Linked DNA regions of Mus musculus. The protein of the gene in region 6 purifies or fractionates together with the protein of the main gene of each other region. This does not show direct contact. Links are inferred from orthologs where the notes say so. Each region holds a gene or a part of one and is shown on either strand. Other genes may lie near its edges.

Region 1 (3,946 bases), on a different chromosome or scaffold from region 6:
GTAGAGCCCTGGCTGTCCTGGAACTCACTCTGTAGACCAGGCTGGCCTTCAATTCAGAAATCTGCCTGCTTCTGCCTCCCAAGTGCTGGGATTAAAGGCATGCGCCACCACTGCCCAGCAAAGGATTTAGCTAATGGGAGTGGAGGTTCTACTCTGGGCCACTTGGCTTCTAAGTGTGGTGGGGAAATGTGACCACGTGCATCTGAGGAGCTGCCCTGGGGCTCTGTGTTCCCCTTTCAGTGCTGTGTAAGCACCAAAGCTAAAAACAAGAGTTTGGGGAGGTTCCAGTTGTTCTCCCTTGAAACAGTCAGACTCCCAGGGACTTGAGACTCTCTGCTTGCCATCCCTTAAGAAAGCTGGTGCATTTTTGTATACTATCATATCAACTAACAATGAAGCTTTGACTTCTTCCGTTTCAATTTGTATCCCCTTGATCTCATTTAATTGTCTTTTTGTTCTAGGTAGAACTTCAAGTACTATGTTGAATAGATAGTGAGAGAGTGGTCAGCCTTGTCTTGTCCCTGAATTTAGTGGAATTGCTTTATCCATCAACGTAATTTACCATATAAACAAACTGAAAAAAGCCCACATGATCATCTCATTAGATGATGAAAAAGCCCTTAACAATATCCAATACCCCTTCATGTTAAAAGTCTTAAAGGGATTATGGATACAAGGACCATACCTAAACATAATAAGGCAATATACAGCAAGCCAATAGTCAACATCAAATTAAATGGAAAGAAACTTAAGCAAGACCTAACAAAGCACTAGCCCAGTCTACTTGAGAAATTAACCTCTACGATGGTCATGATAAGCCAGTGGGACCCGGAACCCGCAGAAAAGGAGAGTGAAGCTATAATGACTAGTCATTTTATGTATGCATCTCAGGAACCAGAAAAAACTTAGTCTAAATAAAAAACCTGCTAGCGACGGCTTCAAATCATAAAATCCCTGGATTAGGGTCGCCACAGCAACCAGAGCCCAACAGTAGCCAAGATAAAGGCAGAACTGCAGGAGGGCGGGGCCGAGGATCCAGAAGACGCGGAACCTTTGTGTGAGTCGAGTGTGTTGCTGACCGGAAGATCCTGGGTGACAGCCTGCCGGCTGCGGGCCGGCACCGGAAGTGAAGCGTTTTGAGCTGCCACGTCCGAGGCCGTGGGTCGCCGCTGCTGCAGCTATGGTAAGTGTCGCGATCCCTGCGATAGTCGTGGCTTTGAGACAGACCACCTCTACGTCCTCAAAGTTTGCTTGTCCTGCCTCTCTCTGGGTCTCGGAGCGGGAATTTAAGGCAAGGCCACTGGGCCTTCCGGAACTCATAGGCCCGGGCTGCGAGCCCACCTCCTGCCCGTCTCGTGTCTTGTCCTCCAGAATTGGAAAAACAGCCAAAGCTATCATAGGATCTACTGCCTGACAAGCCCTTAGTGCGTTCCCACGATCGCTCACATCCTCTGCCTGCGCGTAGCCTGCGGAGCAGATGCTACTATCATCAACACTTGGGCTAGGCAGTGGCAAGCTAAGATCCAAATTCTCCTCATCATTCGCCCTGCCACCCACTACCTCAGCAAAGGAGGTGGAGGGATCAGTTGCTTGGACACAGGACTCCCATGTGTGATGGTCCCTTCGGGAAACTGATGACAGGCCTAGCTGAGTGACTCCAGGGCATCGTCTCAGCTTTTTATTTCTGTTTCTTATTTTTGAATTTACATGGCCTCTGTGGTATGTCTTTCACCGCACCCCACTCCGTATAATACTAAGGGAATGAAACTCTGGAAGTCTTAGACCCTGGTTGGCGCAGCGGTGCAAGGAGCTGCCTCCTTCTGTTGGCCTTTGGCTCTTTTGTTGCCAAGTTGGAGACTCATACACAGGTTCATTCTAAGTTTGTACCTGGTGTGATTCTGATGAGCTGAACTGTTTTGAGTGCAGCTTCTTACTGTGTTCCAGCAAGCGCATAAGTGTCCTTATAAGATGCTCCGGAGGACTGCTCCAAGAGCTTTAAAATACATAGCATCCCAAAGTGTGGATCATAACCCATGGCTGCTGGTTAAGAATGGTCATAAGGATGCCAGCTTTCCAAAGTCCTGTGGGTCACCAATAGAAAATTACTTTTCCTTGAGCCAGTTGGGATTGTGGGGAATTCTTGGTCACATCACCCACCTTATATTGGTGTGTGTTGGGGGAGGGGGTTAGAGGATTAGTAGATAAGATTGTTGCCAGCAGTGTGGTTTTGGTAAGGGTGTTTTCTTCACTGCCACCTTAAATTGATTAGTTTTTCTGTTGACTATAATTGATTGCTCCTGGTGCCTCTCCAATGCTCACGGGAAAATGTCATTGTCTCCAGGCAGGTGCTGCTCCTCTTTCTCTAATCTTTGCCGACACTTTTCAGAGCATTTAAGATTCTCAAGGAAACACACTTACTTATTCAGTGTGTGCCTTCTGAATGCCTTGCCGCCGTACTCTCCCAGGGTCTACCTTTCTGAAAAAATAGCCCAGGCTGTTGGAGAATTCTTGATCCACCCTCTTGATCCTCCAGAGTGTTAAGGATCTGCAACACCACACCTGCCTTGAGGAGTCAGGCTTTGTAATTGCAAAGTTTGCACTGGGAAAGGTGACTTGTTGGAAATGGTGAGAAATGTCAGTCTCAAATGGAAGCTACCTTTTCAATCCACTTTTCTCTCCCAAGAATTTAATAGTGGATGAGAGAAGAAAAAAAAAAAGATGTGTGTCTTTGCTCTTTTATTAACTCAGTAGGTAGTTACTAAGTTCTTTCTATCTGTAAAAAACATTGTGCTAAATAACTTAAAGAGATTCAAAGCTGAGGTGTGTGATGGTGCCTACCTTTAGTCCGAGCACTCAAGGCAGAAGCAGATAAATCCCAGGGCTGGAGGCAGCCTGGTCTATGCAGTGAGTTCTAGGCAGCTAGACCTATTTACTAAGACAGACAGCGAATGCATCAAAGCTACAGATAGTTTCAAGGAGCTTACCTTCTCTAGCAGAGAAGTAGCATCAAGCTCTATAGCTGTCATGGCTGTTGTGTATGTAAGAGTTTAGCTAGTTGGGGATCAAGGGAGGCTGATTTAAATCAAATGGAGAAATCGCTGGTGTCCATCACAACTGTTTTTGGCCTCTACAGACTATCAGACCTGGGTCCCACAAGGTGAAAAACTAGATGGGCCTTTCACGGTTCATAGTAGGCCAGAGAGTAACCTCAGAGGTAACTAAAGCCAAATCCTTGTCTTGACTTATATAACTTGTTTCACATAAACTGTCTGGGCCATCAGAATCGCTTGCGATGCAGAAAGGGAGCGTGAACTCTGTCCCAGCTTGGTCCCACTGACTGTCTTTGCCCATGCTAACCTTTCGTGCTTGGATCATATCTTCTCTCTGAGCAACAAGGTTTTCATCCCTTAAGGCAGCTGTGTATCCCCTTCATCCTGGGCTCTTTCTGCCCACACAAACCGCAGTATGGCTGATGTGGCTACTGGTAGGTTGTTCACACGCGAGCTCCTCTGAGGCAAGAGCTGCGGCTCCACACTGTGCAGTCCTTTACACGGGGCTTAATGCCAAGAAGATCCTCAGCCGGAAGTAAAAATGCACATATGTAATCCTGGCATTTGGGAGGCTGAAGCAGGAGGATACTGAGTTCAACGCAAGACTGAACTACATGATGAGAGCCAGTCACACGAAAAATAAAAAGAAAGCGTTTATAGAATGAGCGTGCTAGTGAATGAATGAGTGAATGCCCGTAAGAACTTTAGAAGCAATTGGTGCTTTAATGAGATGACTGGTGGCTGCTGTCGATGAATTCACAGAATGTCTTTGGTTCTAGGTGTCAGTAATGAACACTGTGGACACCTCTCATGAGGACATGATTGTAAGTATCCACGCAGCCCTTCTCCTGGGCCTGGACATGGGCAGCCTCAGTAGGCGTTTACTGTATATTAGT
Region 2 (3,500 bases), on a different chromosome or scaffold from region 6:
ATATGCTATGAAATCCATTTTGGAAAACCATAGTATAAAATTGCTCTTTCAAATCGAATATCATCCTTTCACCGGAGCTCCCTGCACTTCCTGATGCTTTCTCTTACTCTCTTCCCATTGAATTGTAGTAATTCGATCATTGCACTTGATTTCACGTGTACTTTTCAATCTACTATATTAGGAATCAGAGTTTCATTTTCTTCGTTGTTCAATCTCTTTCCTTAACAAGTAGATGTTCAATAAAAGGTTTGCAAGATCTTAAACTGCTTTGATGTGTTAGAATTGAGTAAATGTACAGGTAGTTGTTGGTGTTAAATACCTTTTATCTCATCAGAAAGAGAGGTAGGCAGGTAGGTATCTAGTTCAAGGCCAACCAAAGTTCTATAGAAAGACCATGTCCCCAACAATGTGTCTTAGTCAGGGTTTCTACTCCTGCGGGGTTTATTCAGCTTACACTTCCACATTGCTGTTCATCACCAAAAGAAGTCAGGACTGGAACTCAAGCAGGTCAGGAAGCAGGAGCTGATGCAGAGGCCATGGAGGGATGTTACTTACTGGCTTGCTTACCCTGGCTTGCTCAGCTTGCTTTCTTAAAGAACCCAGAGCTACCAGCCCAGGGATTGTACCACCCACAATGGGCTGAGCCCTCCACCCTTCGTTGAGAAAATGCCTTACAACTAGATCTCATGGAGGCATTTCCTCAAGGGAGGCTCCTTTATTTGTGATAACTTCAGCCTGTATCAAGTTGACACACAAAACCAGCCAGTACACAATGTATAATGTAAACACTCCAAAAATAAATATATATCCTCCATTCAATAAAAGATTAACAGATAGATTACCAAACTAAACTTTTTTTTTTTAGGACAGAGAAACTTTGGTTGGTTGGTTGGTTGGTTGGTTGGTTGGTTTTGTGCGGTTAAGGATCAAACCTTACGCATGTACAAACACTGTACCATTCAGCTCTGAACCCATTTCCTGTTTTCATGGTGTCATTGTGATACCAGTTAAAAACAAAATTTCTCACCATGTTCAGCTTCTTAATGTTAATTACATCTGGTTATAATTTTATTAGACCAATAAATAGTACAACACTTTCAAACATGTACTTACCCACCAAATATTACATACTACTGTATTAGACACATAGGCAGTACAATATATAACTTTTGTGCACATTTTTGTGTATTAAATGGTAAGACATAGAAAAAACAGTTAATAAGATGTATGTCAAAGAATAAGGTAAAATAACTCAGTTTTGGTAGATTAGAAGGCATACTTACTAAATATTGTCATTGTTTTCAGCTATGCAGTCAGAAGGGCCTGTGGAACATGTTCCAGTATTTGGAAACGCAAGTGGATCTGTTCGTTCTACTAGTCCTAATGTTCAGCCCTCCATTTCTCAGCCCATCCTAACTGTACAGCAGCAAACACAAGCTACAGCTTTTGTACAACCCACTCAACAGAGCCACCCGCAGATTGAGCCTACAAATCAAGAATTGTCCCCAAACATAGTTGAGGTAGTACAAAGTTCCCCAGTGGAGCGTCCATCTACTTCCACAGCAGTATTTGGCACTGGTAAGATTTCATTTTAATATTTTCTATTGTTTTATTTTATGTCTATGGATGCTCTGTCTCTGTATATTTGGGTGTCATGTACGAGCCTAGTGTCCACAGAGATCAAAGAAGGGCATCATATCCCCGGAAACTGTAGTGACAGGTATTGGGGACTGACCCTGGGTCCTCTTGAAGAGCATCAGTGCTCTTAACTGGTTGCTTAAGATGGCTAAGCCATCTTCTAGACTAATAAGATTAATTTTTAAAATGAAGCTGCAGTAGACATATATGCTTCACATTTCTTAGGTGCAATACATCTTGACTATTGCCTAAAACAATTTGCTTTCTATCCAGTGTTACTATGAAGAAAGAAAATATTTTTATTTAGTTTTAATCATACTTAACAGTAGATACAAGAACAGTTCAAATGTGCGCTTGATGTAGCTTAAAAATTACATTTATTGTAATTTAAATTATTAGAAAATAATATTCATATTTACTATTAGTTCAATTTCAGTTTTTATCATTAAGTAAAAGCCCTCCTACCCCCAGATATTTTGGGCTGTTTTTAAAGGGGAAAAATAGCCAACATATTATATGTAACTTAATGTGAATCCTGAAAATTAAAGCTGTTCATATTATTTAGCATATACAGTATGATTTTTCTTTATTTTTATAGAAAGTCCTATGTAAACTTTGTAAATAGCAATTTATCAGATGTGTCATACAAAGTTCTAGTTTTAAGACTGGTTGTAATATTATCTTTGTCTAAATGAAGTTACCATGATCTGACTTTTGAGGTTGAAATTGTATGATCTGAAAGTTTCAGCTACCCCAAGTTCCTCCTTGCCAAAGCGCACTCGGGAGGAGGAAGAGGACAGCACCATGGAAGCAGGAGACCAAGTCTCTGAGGACACAGTGGAAATGCCTCTCCCGAAGAAGCTGAAGATGGTCACACCCGTTGGAACCGAGGTCTGTCACACTCCTGTGTATTACCATTGCATCAGCAGCTAAGAGCTAGCTGTCAGTCATACTCAATGTCAAATTAAGTTTTGGGAGATTATCCTAAAAATTCCTGAACTGTAGTTTTCACTTATAGCTAAGGTATTTTGCCATTATCACTTGGTTTATAGTCTTTGCATATCTTTTCATGAATTCCTTCCCATTTAATAAAAGCAGAAGCAAATTAAATTCTGCTTTTGTAAGGAAGTCTAGTCATTGGCATTCTGCACATTGACATTACTTGCCATGTGATTTTAAGATTAAGGCTAGCCAAAATTACGTTCCTTTTCAACCATAGACTGTGATGAGTTAGGTTGTATAACAGTAATAATACTAAATGTTATACGTGTGTATTCATTAATGTTCGTTGAAGAAGTATTTGAGTATGTTTATATAAACATTTGTGGCACAGCTTCATAGAATTGTCGACTTAACGTTTTAGAGAAACACTGATGACGATTCGTGTAGTTCACTGACTCAGTAAGAAATAACCTATTATGATTTAGGAAGAAGTTATGGCAGAAGAAAGTACTGATGGAGAGGCAGAAACTCAAGCCTATAATCAGGACTCTCAAGATTCCATTGGAGAAGTGAGTAAACATATACAACTATTAAAAATCAATTGTTTTGACCTATTGAAACACTACTTGCTTTTTTTTTTTTTTTTTTTTTTTTTGGTTTTTTGAGACAGGGTTTCTCTGTGTAGCTCTGGCTGTCCTGGAACTCATTTTGTAGACCAGGCTGGCCTCGGAACTCAGAAATCCGCCTGCCTCTGCCTCCTGAGTGCTGGGATTAAAGGCGTGCGCCACCACGCCCGGCTCACTACTTGCATTTTTAAATTTGTTTTGTTTTGCTTTTTGAGGCAAGTTTTTACCATGTAGCCTAGGCTAGCCTTAAATTCAGACAGCCCTGCTTTTTTTAAGTGTTGGAATTACAGGCAT
Region 3 (3,500 bases), about 110 Mb from region 6:
CCATGATTAAACTGATGAAGCCAAGGTAACACAATGGAGTTGATTCTACCATCTTACATTAGCATGTACTTGTATTGATTCAGAGCCTTTATGTCTTTGAAGTATATATTGTTTAAAAGAGAACTTGTTTCTTTTTATCAAATGATTATATGATAGAGGGTTATAAATACACTGTAGATGTGATTGCAGATAAAATAAAATTCAGGGTCATTATTCTTTTTTTCTTTTTTTTTTTTTTTTTTTTTTTTTTTTGGTTTATCGAGACAGGGTTTCTCTGTGTAGCCCTGGCTGTCCTGGAACTCACTTTGTAGACCAGGCTGGCCTCAAACTCAGAAATCCGCCTGCCTCTGCCTCCCAAGTGCTGGGATTAAAGGTGTGTGCCACCACCGCCCGGCAGGGTCATTTTTCCAGAGCTTTTTAGATGTGTAATCTTTGCTCCTTTCTTAAGAAACTAGAATGTACTATCAGACTAGAAAAAATTTATATGAACTAATTAATATAGGCATAAAGAATGGCTGCTGTAATTGATATTTAGTTTTACTTTTAAATTGTAGTTAGACTATGTATTGGCGTGGCTTAGCTATGTGCATGTGATTGCAGGTACCCACAGGCCAGGTTTGTAGGATACTCCTGGAACTGGGCTGACATACGACTGGGAGCCACTGATGTGGGGGCATGAACTTGGGTCCTCTGGAACAGTATCTGCCCAGAACTACTGAGCCAGCTCTCTTGCTGGACACATACTTTTTAATAGAAATCTTTCTTACACATCTTACCATTATGTTATTTTGCCTCCTAGCCTTTAATTCTAAACTTTTATTACTCATATATATATATATATATATATTTACCATTTAGTTGAAATTTTTTGTTTTCACTAAGATTTAGTGTCTCCAGCCACATAACTATTTACCATTTAGTTAGTGGAATGAAATGTTTCTTATTAGGCAAAGATAAATTGTTTTTTACCATATCTTTTGATATTGTTCTGTCTTCCTTAAGGACTGGTGACCGAGTGCCACTCCACTGTGTTGACAGACATCCAGACCAGCAGCATGTTGTAGCTACCGGTGGCCAGGATGGAATGTTGAGTATTTGGGATGTCAGACAAGGTACCATGCCTGTGTCATTACTGAAGGCTCATGAGGCTGAAAGTAAGTATTGTGGGGACACAAAGCTTGCATTGAATGAGTTTCTCATGAGCATGAAGTGATTCATAGGGACCATTTCACATCAGCGCTTTTAGTATCTGGCCCGTATAAGCCAGATAATCTCTTCCTCTGTTTACGCCCTTTAATGTTCGTTCATCATATCTACAACTGCAGTCAGTATTACTACATGCTCCTCTTACTGAGCTGATGGCCTTAGGTTTTTTGTTTTGTGTTTTCTTTTTTCTCAAAACTAGAACCTATGGACCAAACCGTCATACTTCATGTTGTCAGGTTACTGACTGTTCTGTATAAAATTATCACTTAATATTTCCTAATTTATGAATTCATTAATTTTGTGCAGTTTTGAGATAGGATCTCACTTTGTAGTCCAGGTAAGCCTGGATTTTACTGTATACCAAACTAGACTTGACTATACCACAGTCCTCCTGCCTTAGCTTCCTATGTGCTGAGATTACAGGCATGAGCCACCACTCTTTGATAAAATATATTCCCATTCCCTATTACTGGGGAATGAGCCAGGACCTTAAGGGTGTACTCTGTCCCTGAGCTATATCACAAGGTCCAACTGATCTTTTTGTTTGATATTCCTTTTTAGAAAGACTCTTTCCTAGGGGATCTGACACCCTCTTCTGGCTTTTACTCAAATAGAAATACAAGAAAGCAAACATCAAAACAGTACTGCAACATGACCTGGTTTATGAGATGTTCATCCAGAAAGGTGTGATCCCAGCAGCTAGGTCACAGAGGCAGGAGGACTAAGAGTTCAAGGCCAACCTGTGTCACAGCTGCTGGGATCACACTAAAAGATAAAAGCTGAGAATCTTATTCCTGTGCAGATGAGCTGGGGTACCTATAAACTTTAAGTCTATTGAAAATCAAAGGCTTCAAAAGAGAGCCCTATCTGGAAAAACAAAAAACAACAAAACAAGAAAATGTAAAGAGATGCAGACTATAAGTAACCTTTTGGTGACTATAACATGAAGATAGGTAAGGGCCACTACTTGTGGGTAGGCCATAAAATAACCTCTGTGGATTACTAAAATTGATTTCCTTCTGTCTTTTAGTGTGGGAGGTTCACTTCCACCCGTCCAACCCAGATCACCTGTTCACTTGTTCTGAAGATGGATCTCTCTGGCATTGGGATGCCTCCACAGATGCACCTGAAAAGTCTTCTCTCTTTCACCAAGGTAAAGGTTCTTGTGTGCTGCTTTAGGATATTTTAAATGTTGAGTCAGAATCTTGCTATGTAGACCAGGTTTGGCCTCAAACTCAAAGAGATTTACCTGCCTCTGCCTAGGAATGTTTTGCCTGCATGTATGTGGGTGTACCACATCTGTACAGTGACCACAGACACCATCTCTAGCTTGAACATTCTCAGGAGTTAAGAACACTGACCATAATAAGACAGGAAATAATTGGAATAAGACAGGAAATAATTGGGCAGAATACACAAAATTATTGTGTAGAAGAGTAAGCAGACCAGATGGATAAAGAAAAAGGGCAAGATAGGCCTAGAGAGAGTGTAGTCTCAGCAGTTGAGAGCTGCAGGCAGGATCATCAATGTAAGGCCATTCTAAGCTATATATAGAGTTTAAGGCCAGCCAGGGCTACATGAGACCGTTTCCAAAAAACAAAACAAGAGAGGGGGAGGAGGGGCTGGAGAGTTGGTTCAACAGTTAAGAAGAGCACTGGCTGCTCCTCTAAAGGACCCTGTTTCAATTCACACTATCAACATGATAGGTCACAACCATCTGTAATTCCAGTTTTAGGGGATCCAATGCCTTCCTCCAGTCTCCAGGCACCAGGCACACACATGAAATAGACATACATGCAGGCAAAACACCCATACATACAAAATAAAACAACCAAGGGCGAATGCAAAAGGAAAGACTCATTTAATTTTTAATTATGTTTTTTGCATGTTTATATTCGTCAATGTGTATATAAGTGTAGTTGGCAGCTGAGGCCACATCAGATCCCCTGAAGCTGGAGTTACAGGTGGTTGTAAGCCATCTGTCTGTCTTGGGTACTGGGAACTGAACCCAGGTCCTTTGTAAGAATAGCATGTGTTCTTAACAGCTAAGCCATCTCTTGGGCCCTGGAAGTTCATTCGCATGAACTAGGAACTTATATTTTGTTTGTTTGTTGAGACAGGTTCTCTTTATGGAGTCCTGGCTGTCCTGGAACTCACTAGGTAGCCCAGGCTGACATTGTACTCAAAGGTCCTCTACCTCCCAAGTGAGGAACTTGTATCTCTGTGTACATTTTGGGTTCTTCTTTCCTTACATTTGGTTGTTTATGGTACCTCTCTTTCCATTAAACTTTCCA
Region 4 (3,500 bases), about 30 Mb from region 6:
AAAAAACTTAGCCTACTTTAATTTTTAAAACTTCTTTATAGTCCTAAAGAAGTCAAGAACTATAAAACCTACAAGAGAAAGGAGAAATCCTCATGAATGCATTTGATTATTGTTAGGAGATTGCTCAGCATGGACCCCAGAGCCTCGTGTATGCTAAACACACACTCCACTGAGCTGTGCTCCTCAGCATTGAATGTGTTCACTTGGGGACCGAAATGCCGGAGGCACTTTGTTACCCATCGGTCATGGAACTTATGTTTCCTGACATGCTAGCTCCACTCAGCACAGCGTAACAGTGGCTGACTAAGAACCAATTGTGAGCTAGCCAAAAATCATAGTTCCCAAGGACAGTACTCTCACATCCAAGTGCCATGCCTGTGACTTCTGAGATTAAAAGCCATTGAGATGAAGAGCCGTATTTGTGAGTAAGTTGATGCTTATTGATAGACAGTACAGAACCCGTACAGACAGGACAGTGCTTCTCTAGTCCATCTTTAATCTGGCAACTGCTAAGCATGGCCCTCTTGGGAGAAAACATTAGAGAAGTCAGACAGATGAGAACTTGTATAAGATAGGACATCCCCAAAGTACGTTGTATAAGTAGAAGGAATGAGCATTGTGGGAAATGACTCTCCTACTAAAAGCCTGTCACTTCACATTGGCTTCTTCATGGGTTACTCTGAAAATAGAAAGGCTGGTGTGGGGAGAGAGGGAGAGACAGAGACAGAGACAGAGACAGAGAACACCTTGGGTAGGAATAATTGTTATTAGAAATGACTTAAATAGGCTTGCAACCTGATTAATGTGTGTGCCACCACGCCCAGCGTAAAACTTAAATTCTGTATGCTCCTTTTATATTTTCCAATGACTATTTTTTCTCAAAGATGTTTATCAAATACAAATACATGTAATAATACATAGGTAATGACTTTAAATACATTTGTCAAAGTTTCATTTATTTTATTTTGTAGTGATGTATTTAACATCCATACTGTTTTATTAGGATTTGGAACTTGGAAGGAAAGCAGACAGCTCATTTTCTTCTGCATTCTCCTGGAATGAGTGTATGCTGGCATCCCGAGGAAACTTTCAAGGTTGTTATCTATAACTTAAATTTCCTTTACCAAGTTTAAAAGGCACACAGGTATAATCCTCATACCCATAAAGGAAAGGACCAATGGCTTTCTACCTCAGGCACAGATTAGTACAATTGCATTTGAGTTTTATAGAAATAAATACGTTCATAGTTTCTCGAAAACTGTTAGCTTTTTTGCAACTATCATTCATATATACAGAGTGTGCTTTTCCTGGCCCTTGGCAGATTACAGCCTAAAAATTGGTATTCAGTCTAGTTAGCAGTATGCAGTTTTCAAAAAAGAAAAAAGAAATCGAAGTTAAATCCATGCATATGAGCCATATATAAACAAGAAGTGTCAGTGGCATAAGGCGCATGTGTCCTAGATTAGAGGCACTCAAAGCTTTCTAAAGTACTAATGAGTTTTAAATACCAGTTAGCCGTAATTCATGGTGAAAACAGGAGCCATTCAACACGTTCTCTCATAGAATGCGAATGCCGTGTGCACCTCAGAATGAACCCTGCAGCTTCTCCTGCAGCCATACACCTCCCTTGGACACCTGAGTTCCATAGACCTCTGACATCCTCATGTTTTTTCATTTCACTGTTCTGCCCTCAGTTTTGCACAAAAGATAGAGTTTATTGATCCTGTCTACCAAATATACATTGTTAAAGCTTTTTCTCAATATACAATTATATTATGGCAACTTCTTTTTAAATTTAAGGCTGTTTCCTACCTATTATTTCTAAATGTTTGGATATATTTTCCTTTTTTTTTTTTTTGTTGTTCTAGCTTTCTTTCATTATTGTCGTGCATATTTTGTTCTTATTGATTACTATACCCCACTGCCCTTCCACTGTCTTCCTACCTTCTTATTGGTCCCCTTCTTGTCCTCCAAGACCTCCATCATTCCTTCACGTCACAGTATTCTCTGACCCTCTGATATTAGAATACCCTTTCTTCTTCACTTCTCATAGGTCCCCTTTTGAGTTTCATGGTGTGTGTGTGTGTGTGTGTGTGTGTGTGTGTGTGTGTGTGTGTGTGTGTTTGTGTGTTTGTACATATGTGTGTTCATAGATGTGTCTAGTGATTACTGCTACACTATTCAGAATAGCTAACAAATAGTCTAAATGTTTATCAATGGATAAAGGAAATGTATATGTACACACACAATTGGATTTTAGTATTTAGCCATAGAAAAAAATTGTCACAACATTTGCAGGTCAGTTGGTGCAAATTGAAACCTATACAAAGTAAATAAGTAAGACTTATTCTTGTGTTTTCTTTAAGTTCAGATCCTAGATTTTAACTTTTATATTGGTGTATATATACAGGAGGCTTAGGTCAACAGGGGTCATCCCTCTTTTAACTTGACTTGTACTTCATAATTATGATCTAACTCCGCAATTTCAGTTAGTTATTATGCTCCCAAATTACCACAATGCATTAGAGAATGTTCTCCTTCCCCCTCATTCTTAAATGGAGACAGCTTTAACATGGTGAATGCCTATTTCTTGAAACTAGTCCTGATGAATACATGTGCATGTGTGAGTGTGTGTGTGTGTGTGTGTGTGTGTGTGTGTGTGTGTTTCTTTGTACATTCTGTTTGAAATTTGTTTTCCCTCTTGTAAATAATTAAAAACAAACTCCAAGCCATTGAACACATTAAATATTAGAACTTAGGTTTCTGACCAGTCCCCACTCTTTCCACTCTGTCACTGCTACCTCACACTTCCAGATGTCTGCACCTGAATGAAACAAACATTCTCAGAAAGAAGGGACTTTACACAGTAGATAAAGCATATTCATGGATAATAGCTATTAATACCCTGTCCAGCATACTTGGAAAAATCTTGTTCGTTATAGATGATATTCTGTGACATGTTTTCATAAATCTAAGAAACAGTTTTCATATTGTAATTTTTTTAAGATTGGGATTTATTGTATAAATTTATGCATTTGGTTACGTATTTCATATATTTCATAACAATTTATTAAACATCTAAAATTATTGGAATCATTTCAATTATTGGAGTCTTATAACAAGGAAATACTGAGTTACAAGGGATTACTAATACTAATAATAGCCACTCTTTTCTTGATTTAAGAGTTCAATATTTACTAGGTGCTTGTAGAACAAGCCTATAGGTATCTCTGATACTTATGCATTTGGCTTCTGCTTGTGATATATATGTGTGTATATATACATACGTGTGTGATATATGTTTATTTTTCTTTTATGACATTGAATCTGCTTCTTTCTCAAATTTAGCTGATGAGATACATGTAGAATTTTCTTGTTCCACCCTGTATTACAGCTAATGGTTGCAGAGAAGAATGGAACAATCCGGTTTTATGATCTAATGGCTCAGCAGGCAATTTTATCTCTTCAGTCAGAGCAGACACCCTTAATGTCAGCACACT
Region 5 (4,249 bases), on a different chromosome or scaffold from region 6:
GAAGAGGTTAGAAAGATGGCTCAGCAATTAAGAACACTTACTGCTCTTGTAGTGGACCCTGGTTCAGTTCTCAGCACCCACATATGGCTCACAACTGCCTGAAACTCCAAGGGATCAGTTCCTTCTGACCTCATACAGGCACACATACATGCACATATACAAATAATGAACCTTATAAAGTCAGCACAGGCATTCAACTATCCCAGAATGAACTTGACAAAAATCTGTTTGTTTTGTTTTGTTTCACTATGTAGTCCTGGAACTCACTCTGTTAACCAAGCTGGTCTCTACCTCTTGAGTGCTAGGATTAAAGGCATACACCACCACCTCCCAGCCTTTTGTTTTTAAGACAGGGTCTCTCTACATAGTGCTGACTGTCCTGGAACCCACTATGTAGACCACACTGGCCTGGAACTAATCCAACTACCCCAGCCTCCCAGGAGCTGGGATTAAAGGCGTGTGCTACCACATCCAGCTTGAGGACATTCTTTAAAAGTAAAAAAACATTCAAAGAACGGAGAAGATTGGTAAATACAGTGAGTTGTTCAGATAGCAAGGAACTTACTAGTTACTTTTTTTAAAGAATCATTTACATGTGTAAGTGTGCATGCACGCTGAGTGAAGATCACAGAGAAGCCAGAAGGCAGCACTGGTGCACGGGATCTACTGGAGCCGCAGTTACAGATGGTTGTGAGCCGCGGACTATTAGTGCTGAGAGCCAAGCTTAGTTCATCTCAAGAGGATACTCACTCTTAATCATGAAGCTATCTCTCCAGCTCCACAGTAACTTTTTCCTAAAAGAAAGTCTATCATTTACACAGATTTTTTAAAAAAGTGTGTATAAACACAAACCTCTTGAGTAAGATAAAGTACTAAAGTAGTGGAGTAGTGGCCCACACCTCTAATCCCAGCCCTTGGGTCTCTGAGTTCCAGGACAATCTATTCCACATAGGGAGTTCCAAGACAGCCTGAGCTACGATGTAGTATCAAAAAAGAAAAAAGAAAAGAAAATGTACTCTGGACAACCTGACTGCCCTTAATCCAAACACCAACTATATAGAACTCTCCCACAAGTCCAGAGAAAAGTGTCCATGACTACACCTGACTGCAATCCTGAAGGCACAGCTCCAGCCCAGCTGCCGGCACTTTTTACTCTCTCACAAGCTTTGAGGAACTCTGGAGGACCGTCAACCATTTCCACCAGGCAATTCCACCTAGTGACCTAGCAGGGACTGCTGTAACAGGTGCTAAAAGGTTGAGGGCTAAGTGGCTCAAAGACCACTTTCTCTGGTTCTCCAAGCAGGCTACTCAGGCTCACTAAGTCAGTCAGCTGTAGGTCATCCCTCCTAATGTGATATAGGCCTCATAAAAGGCTTGAGAGATGTCTTTTTCTTTTTCAATAGCGTGAACAGAGCGAGCACACAAAATCACCTGCAGAGATGCCAGAGGGGTGACTACAGCAGAAGCAGCAGAGACGAGCAATCCTGCGACCAAGCTGTGAAAGCCACAGGCAGTTTGGTAGCCTGACAGCTAAAGTAGCCCCTTCACTGGTTGTCTGTGCACGGAAGCAAGCATCGAAATGCAGAAGTACGTTCTCTCCCAATATTGCTGTATTACCTTAGTAAATACCATTCCTAAAGGCTATAATTTGATGTCTGCTACATAAATCAGCTGCACTCCTTGGCCAACAAAGGACCCAGGATCGGTTCTCCCAACAAGATGGATCACAATCTTAACTCCCTCTTCTGACCCGCAAAGACACCAGGTAGTGCACCTTCATACACGCAGACAGAACACTCACACGAATAAGTCTTTGAAATTGTGGGGTTAGGGGAGTGGCCTCGTTCCTGGTGGCGCACATATTTAATCACACCACTCTCGGCAGAGGCAGGCAGATCACTTGGGGATACAGGACTGAGACCCTGTCTCCCAAAAAAAAAAAAAAAAAAAAAAAAAAAAAAAAAAACATCGTAGCACATTCAACGCACACTTGTGATAACCATCTTCAGAGACCACTTGAACATGAACAAGAATTAAAACCTGGTGTCCAGCTATTTTGGCGTTGTGAAGGAGTTCAGACTTGGAACCCCAGCGTGGTGAAACTGAGACTGGAGGACTACAGCCGGGTCTAGAGTCTAAGATAATCTCAGAAAACGTGTGTGTGTGTGACTGGCGTGTATTAGCCCTTCAGGGCATCCCATGTGTCCTGGGCAGAGGAACACAGGCGAGGCCCACAGGAATGACACACACAGCGCCAGAGGAAAAAGAACCCCAAAGTCCGCACAAGCGCGACAGCCGCGGCCCACGCCGCAGGCCCAGCATGCGCGTGCGCTTAGCGAGCGCCCCAGGCCGAGAGCCGCACCGCGCAGGCGCGGTAGGAAGACGCCGCGAGCGCGGGAGGCCGTGACCCCACAATCCGCCGGCGGGGAGGGCTCTCGCCGCTTCCGGCGTGGCGGCGTCGGCGGCTGCGGCTCGCACGCGCCTCGGTCCGGGCTAATCCCTTCTGCGCCGCCTCCCTCCCCTCCCGGCCGGGCAGCGGCGAGTGCCGCGCGCACCTTGACGCTCTGATCGCTGGAGCAGGTGGCCATCCGGCGCCCGTGGAAGTCGAAAGACACATCGTGGATGAGGTCCTTGTGGTCCGCCGCGATGCTGCGCGCCACAAACATGGCCGCCGCCGTCTGCCGGGCCCGCCTCCGAGAGGGCGGCGGTGCGGCCCGCAGCCCCCGGACCACCGCGGAGGCACGTACGGCACGTCGGCCCTCGCCTGCCCGCCCGCGTCGGCCCCGGCGCGCCACGCCCCGAGGGACACGCCCTGCGCGGGCGGAGCCTGCGTCCGGACCTCGCTGCAGCAGCAGACGAAGCTGGGAGACGGAGGATGGAAAAGTGAAAGCACCTTCCGGGGTCAGCCTGGGGGTGTGCGCCTCCGAAAACACGTGATCCGTGCACAGAGCTAGTAGACACTTCCCGCAGCCAATTTGAGTGGGTGGTTCAACCGCGTAACCAGAGCTTCTTAGGAATGATGGGGACGCCCAAAGTTGTGGCTTAGGGAGTCCCGCTCAGCGAGTGCAAAGTCCGCCCGAAGGATGAAATTGAAGAGGAGTGGAGAACCTGAAGCAGCAGTCAGTGATGAAAGATGGCACAAGTACAGCAGGCTCAAGGGTGTCAGCAAAACAGAATGTGGAAAAAGACTTTCTAGAAAGTCACCTGGGGTGATGGCAAGACCCAGAAGGATATCCAATATTTACTTGAATGGAGCCAGTCTTTAATGGAGAAGTAAGTAAAACAAACAAAAATAGCCTGCAAAGAGAAACGTGTGAAGGAAAGTGCTCAAATCAGGAGAGTCAGTCAAACTCGGGAAGTGGTGGAACATTCATTCTACAAGGGTTTTAGGTGAGAGAGAGGTTGTCTGTCTAACTCCCACGAGATCAAACTCTTGACTTTGGTTCCATGAGCGCCAGGATACACTTGGTGCACAGACATATATATAGGTGAAACATGCATACAGAGAAAAATAAGGATGTTTAAAGAATGGGAATCGTTTTAAAAGGCAGACTTTAAAGGGTCTCAAAATAACTGGACCCACTTGTTCCCTGATGGAATTGTACAGAGACCTGCAGAGACCGATAGTGAAATGATCTTACCAGTCTTGAGTTTTCCTTACTCATCTTTAAATTAATAAACTCTGGGGCATGGCTTGAATGACTCACCACCTTTATTTTAGTTCCAGCTCCAGAGAATCTGAAACATCTGGATTCCTTGAGGATCTTCACTCTTCCTGCACACAACAGATAAACATACACACAGAGACATAAATAAAAGTAATCCTTTCTGAGATTTTATTCCTATTTTAGAGGTAGAGCCCAGGTCCATCAGCTGTGTGTAAAACTAATAACTATTCATTAATTCCCAGAAACAAAACACACTATAATAAAAAAGTACAATTAAGTCTATACTTTTAAAAGTAAACATTTATGAAAGCTGTTTATCATTTTTTAGAGATGTATTTATTTTTATATGTAAGAGTGGATTGCCTTCGTGTTTGTAGTATAGCATGTATATGCAGTACCTGTAGAGACTAGAAGAGATTGTTGAATCTCCTAGAACTGGAGTTATACAGGGTGTGAGCTGCCTGGTGGGTACTGGGAGCCCAACCCAGGTCCTCTGCAAAAGCAGCCAGTAACCTTAACTGCTGAGCCATTGTTCTAACTCCTCAAAGCCAAGTTTAAAGACAGTAAACATTTACTGAAAG
Region 6 (3,500 bases):
TGATTATATGTAAGTACACTGTAGCTGTCCTCAGACACCCCAGAAGAGGGAGTCAGATCTCGTTACGGATGGTTGTGAGCCACCATGTGGTTGCTGGGATTTGAACTCTGGACCTTCAGAAGAACAGTCAGGTGCTCTTACCCACTGAGCCATCTCACCAGCCCACTTTTTTTTTTTAAACCCTGGAATTTGCTTGTTGAATTGGGTGTCAGAAAATTGAGAGGAAGTGTTTAAGAAGTGTAGCATGGCCATGCAAACTGATGTAACTGAGTCACAGACGTAACGAGGGGCCTGTTAGATTACCCAGCCACCAAGGGATACAGGCTGCCTGGGATGAGGAGTGGAAGCGGAGTCTCCAGAGTTGCTTCTTTGATGACAAGAAATGCTGACACACGGTTGACAGAGCCCTTAAAATGAAATGGGATAAGGTTGTGGTTGTCACTGTGCTTAGGAATGGGTCCCTAAAGCAGCAGTGACTCCTAAGCTCAGCGTTGTCCCCAGGCCAGCATGGGAAGGCATCGCTGCTGAGCCTCTGGAGGAGGAGCACCCGGTTCTGTGGAGGTTAAAACTCTACTCTGAGTGGCCAGAGCCTAACTGCAGTGGCCTTGTGTGTGTGCTCTCTGTATTTGAGATTTAATGTTGATTTTTGGGGGTCGGGGGGAGATTATTTGGTGAAACTAAAAAGCCCTCTCTGCTGCCCTAGACCTGTCACTTAAGAGCTAAGGGACTAGGATCTACCCAGAAGAATTGTGAAGAGACTCACACGCTCGGAGAAGTAATAATCACAAATGCTTTCGCTCGTTGTGTTTTAGGAACTTTTTAATAAATATGAAAGAGCGATTTACGCGGCACTGAGTGGGAACCTTAAGCAGGTATGCAGTGTGGGGATGCTGAACTCTTTCTGGGGAGTGAGACCGAATCCTTAAATGTCCATAGTTGTGTGCAGCAGACTTGAGCTGCTTCCTAAAAGCCTCCAAGCCAGAGCCCGCCAGACAGCAGGGCAGTGACAAGAGTGACGGCCTGCTTACTGGGAGGGACACTGCCCACTTATGTGTGCTTGTCAGGTTTTTGTTTCTCTGTATGGTTTTTTGATTATTAGCTTGCTTCTGTTGTTACTTTGTTATAGTTTCTTGATATATCACTCATTCTGGCTCTCACTTGCCTCTTTTTTTTATGTTTTTATTTGGGTTTTTGAGAGTAGGGACTTGCTTTGTAAATCAGGCTGCCCTTGAACTCATGACCCCACCCCCACCCCGGCCTCCTCAGTGGTGGGATTGTAGGGGTGCACTTGGTGCTTACATGGAGAATGCCAGCACCTGTTTCCTGATGACTCCTGTACCAGAGTCTGCAGAGATGCAGTGCGGAGACGGTGCATTTGGCCTTAAGCCCACAGACGTGTGTGTCCCCAGAGCCATCGGCTGTCCTGAGGCACGCTCTGATGTTTGAAATACCCTTCGATATTAGAATACAATGTGACTATGAACTTGGTATGGAAAAAGTCTTAATCATACAAACTTCTCAAAAGTTCTAGTTTGGGAGAAAGGTTACTTGGTATATATTTCTCAACCCCTCAGTGTCCCCTGTCATCAGAAGATGGCTTTTGAAGTTTGTAGTCAGTGGGTAATTGGTTTCCCTTTCTTTCTTGCTGACTGTATCATGTTTCTCTTTTGGAATGGATGAAAAGCTCCTTCCAGTCTGTGACACGTGGGAAGACACGGTGTGGGCCTACTTCCGGGTGATGGTGGATAGCCTGGTGGAGCAGGAGATTCGGACATCAGTAATGACGCAGGATGACAGTGAGGAGCTCCCTCGAGAGTACATGGAAGCCAAGTGAGTGGGACGCACGGCAGGCAGGCAGGCATGGTGGCACTGCACTGGGTCACTGCACGCACGCACGGCAGGGAGTTTGGTTGCACAGCACTCCTCAGGTGGTCATCTCTGTCCCTTTTTGTTTTTTCCTCTTTTGAAGTTGGACCTTAGAAAAAGTTTTTGAAGAACTTCAAGCCACTGATAAAAAGGTAAGTGTTAACAAAGCCTGTTACATGTATGTCACGTGTATGAAGTTGATGTTAGCATAGCCCGGTCCCATGTAGCATGTGCAGCTAATGTTACACAGTTGCTCAGTGTAGCTGAAAGGCAGAAAAGTCGGAAATCTCCTTTCTCATCGTTTCCTCACAGCTATGGAAATAAGGGACCTCAAAATTAATATTGATTGGAAAGGGCCTGATGGTCGTTATTGTCGCCCTAGCACCTAGAGGGCTGAGACAGGATCCTTGCCGCGATTTCTAGATGGCTGGGCTATATAGTGAGATCCTGTCTAAAAACAAAATGAAAAACATTTTTTGTTTTTTTCTTCTTCAGTAACTAGTATATATATGTACTTATAATGATAAAACAATTTTAATGTATGCCAGTAAGGCCTGCGTAACTCCTTCCAAACACCCCAACCTTATTTCCCCAGACAGTAAACAAACATACCAACACATACACACTGCATCTTTCTCCATGGCCTTCAAGTCCAAGTAAGCACTGTGGATGCTGAGGTACAGGGTTAGGCAGGCTCTGGATGCTGAGGTGCAGGGTTAGGCTCTGTGGATGCTGAGGTACAGGGTTAGGCAGGCTCTGGATGCTGAGGTACAAGGTTAGGCAGGCTCTGGATGCTGAGGTACAGGGTTAGGCAGTCTCTGGATGCTGAGGTACAGGGTTAGGCTCTGTGGATGCTGAGGTACAGGGTTAGGCTCTGTGGATGCTGAGGTACAGGGTTAGGCAGGCTCTGGATGCTGAGGTACAGGGTTAGGCTCTGGATGCTGAGGTACAGGGTTAGGCAGGCTCTGGATGCTGAGGTACAGGGTTAGGCAGGCTCTGGATGCTGAGGTACAGGGTTAGGCTCTGTGGATGCTGAGGTACAGGGTTAGGCAGGCTCTGGATGCTGAGGTACAGGGTTAGGCAGGCTCTGGATGCTGAGGTACAGGGTTAGGCAGGCTCTGGATGCTGAGGTACAGGGTTAGGCAGGCTCTGGATGCTGAGGTGCAGGGTTAGGCTCTGTGGATGCTGAGGTACAGGGTTAGGCAGGCTCTGTGGATGCTGAGGTACAGGGTTAGGCAGGCTCTGTGGATGCTGAGGTACAGGGTTAGGCAGGCTCTGGATGCTGAGGTACAGGGTTAGGCTCTGTGGATGCTGAGGTACAGGGTTAGGCAGGCTCTGGATGCTGAGGTACAGGGTTAGGCTCTGTCGATGCTGAGGTACAGGGTTAGGCAGGCTCTGGATGCTGAGGTACAGGGTTAGGCTCTGTGGATGCTGAGGTACAGGGTTAGGCAAGCTCTGGATGCTGAGGTACAGGGTTAGGCTCTGTGGATGCTGAGGTACAGGGTTAGGCAGGCTCTGTGGATGCTGAGGTACAGGGTTAGGCAGGCTCTGTGGATGCTGAGGTACAGGGTTAGGCTGATGCTGAGGTACAGCGTTGAAAAGGTTCAGATCATCTTTCCACTTAGTGGTAATCT

The links.
Region 1: the proteins of Nup107 (region 6) and Sec13 purify together in Homo sapiens (affinity purification with mass spectrometry; 8 studies listed by BioGRID and IntAct, counting the BioPlex papers as one, with this or other methods). This does not show direct contact. The link is inferred for Mus musculus from reciprocal best matches to the Homo sapiens genes NUP107 and SEC13.
Region 2: the proteins of Nup107 (region 6) and Tpr fractionate together in Homo sapiens (co-fractionation; 4 studies listed by BioGRID and IntAct, with this or other methods). This does not show direct contact. The link is inferred for Mus musculus from reciprocal best matches to the Homo sapiens genes NUP107 and TPR.
Region 3: the proteins of Nup107 (region 6) and Nup43 purify together in Homo sapiens (affinity purification with mass spectrometry; 8 studies listed by BioGRID and IntAct, counting the BioPlex papers as one, with this or other methods). This does not show direct contact. The link is inferred for Mus musculus from reciprocal best matches to the Homo sapiens genes NUP107 and NUP43.
Region 4: the proteins of Nup107 (region 6) and Nup37 purify together in Homo sapiens (affinity purification with mass spectrometry; 7 studies listed by BioGRID and IntAct, with this or other methods). This does not show direct contact. The link is inferred for Mus musculus from reciprocal best matches to the Homo sapiens genes NUP107 and NUP37.
Region 5: the proteins of Nup107 (region 6) and Seh1l purify together in Homo sapiens (affinity purification with mass spectrometry; 5 studies listed by BioGRID and IntAct, with this or other methods). This does not show direct contact. The link is inferred for Mus musculus from reciprocal best matches to the Homo sapiens genes NUP107 and SEH1L.

The regions. Positions count from the first base shown.
Region 1 is NC_000072.6:113,737,882-113,741,827, reverse strand, and holds the start of Sec13 (protein SEC13 homolog), read left to right. Parts: upstream 1-1,146; 5' UTR 1,147-1,180; coding exon 1,181-1,183; intron 1,184-3,829; coding exon 3,830-3,874; intron 3,875-3,946. UniProt on the Homo sapiens protein: Functions as a component of the nuclear pore complex (NPC) and the COPII coat. At the endoplasmic reticulum, SEC13 is involved in the biogenesis of COPII-coated vesicles.
Region 2 is NC_000067.6:150,434,338-150,437,837, forward strand, and holds part of Tpr (nucleoprotein TPR), read left to right. Parts: intron 1-1,305; coding exon 1,306-1,578; intron 1,579-2,380; coding exon 2,381-2,529; intron 2,530-3,065; coding exon 3,066-3,149; intron 3,150-3,500.
Region 3 is NC_000076.6:7,674,004-7,677,503, forward strand, and holds part of Nup43 (nucleoporin Nup43), read left to right. Parts: intron 1-1,002; coding exon 1,003-1,154; intron 1,155-2,236; coding exon 2,237-2,359; intron 2,360-3,500. UniProt on the Homo sapiens protein: Component of the Nup107-160 subcomplex of the nuclear pore complex (NPC). The Nup107-160 subcomplex is required for the assembly of a functional NPC.
Region 4 is NC_000076.6:88,170,992-88,174,491, forward strand, and holds part of Nup37 (nucleoporin Nup37), read left to right. Parts: intron 1-1,003; coding exon 1,004-1,094; intron 1,095-3,394; coding exon 3,395-3,500. UniProt on the Homo sapiens protein: Component of the Nup107-160 subcomplex of the nuclear pore complex (NPC). The Nup107-160 subcomplex is required for the assembly of a functional NPC.
Region 5 is NC_000084.6:67,773,427-67,777,675, reverse strand, and holds the start of Seh1l (nucleoporin SEH1), read right to left. Parts: upstream 2,801-4,249; 5' UTR 2,667-2,800; coding exon 2,556-2,666; exon of another isoform or gene 1,985-2,555; intron 1,644-1,984; exon of another isoform or gene 1,404-1,643; intron 1-1,403. UniProt on the Homo sapiens protein: Component of the Nup107-160 subcomplex of the nuclear pore complex (NPC). The Nup107-160 subcomplex is required for the assembly of a functional NPC.
Region 6 is NC_000076.6:117,768,706-117,772,205, reverse strand, and holds part of Nup107 (nuclear pore complex protein Nup107), read left to right. Parts: intron 1-812; coding exon 813-872; intron 873-1,684; coding exon 1,685-1,830; intron 1,831-1,969; coding exon 1,970-2,018; intron 2,019-3,500. UniProt on the Homo sapiens protein: Plays a role in the nuclear pore complex (NPC) assembly and/or maintenance. Required for the assembly of peripheral proteins into the NPC. May anchor NUP62 to the NPC. Involved in nephrogenesis.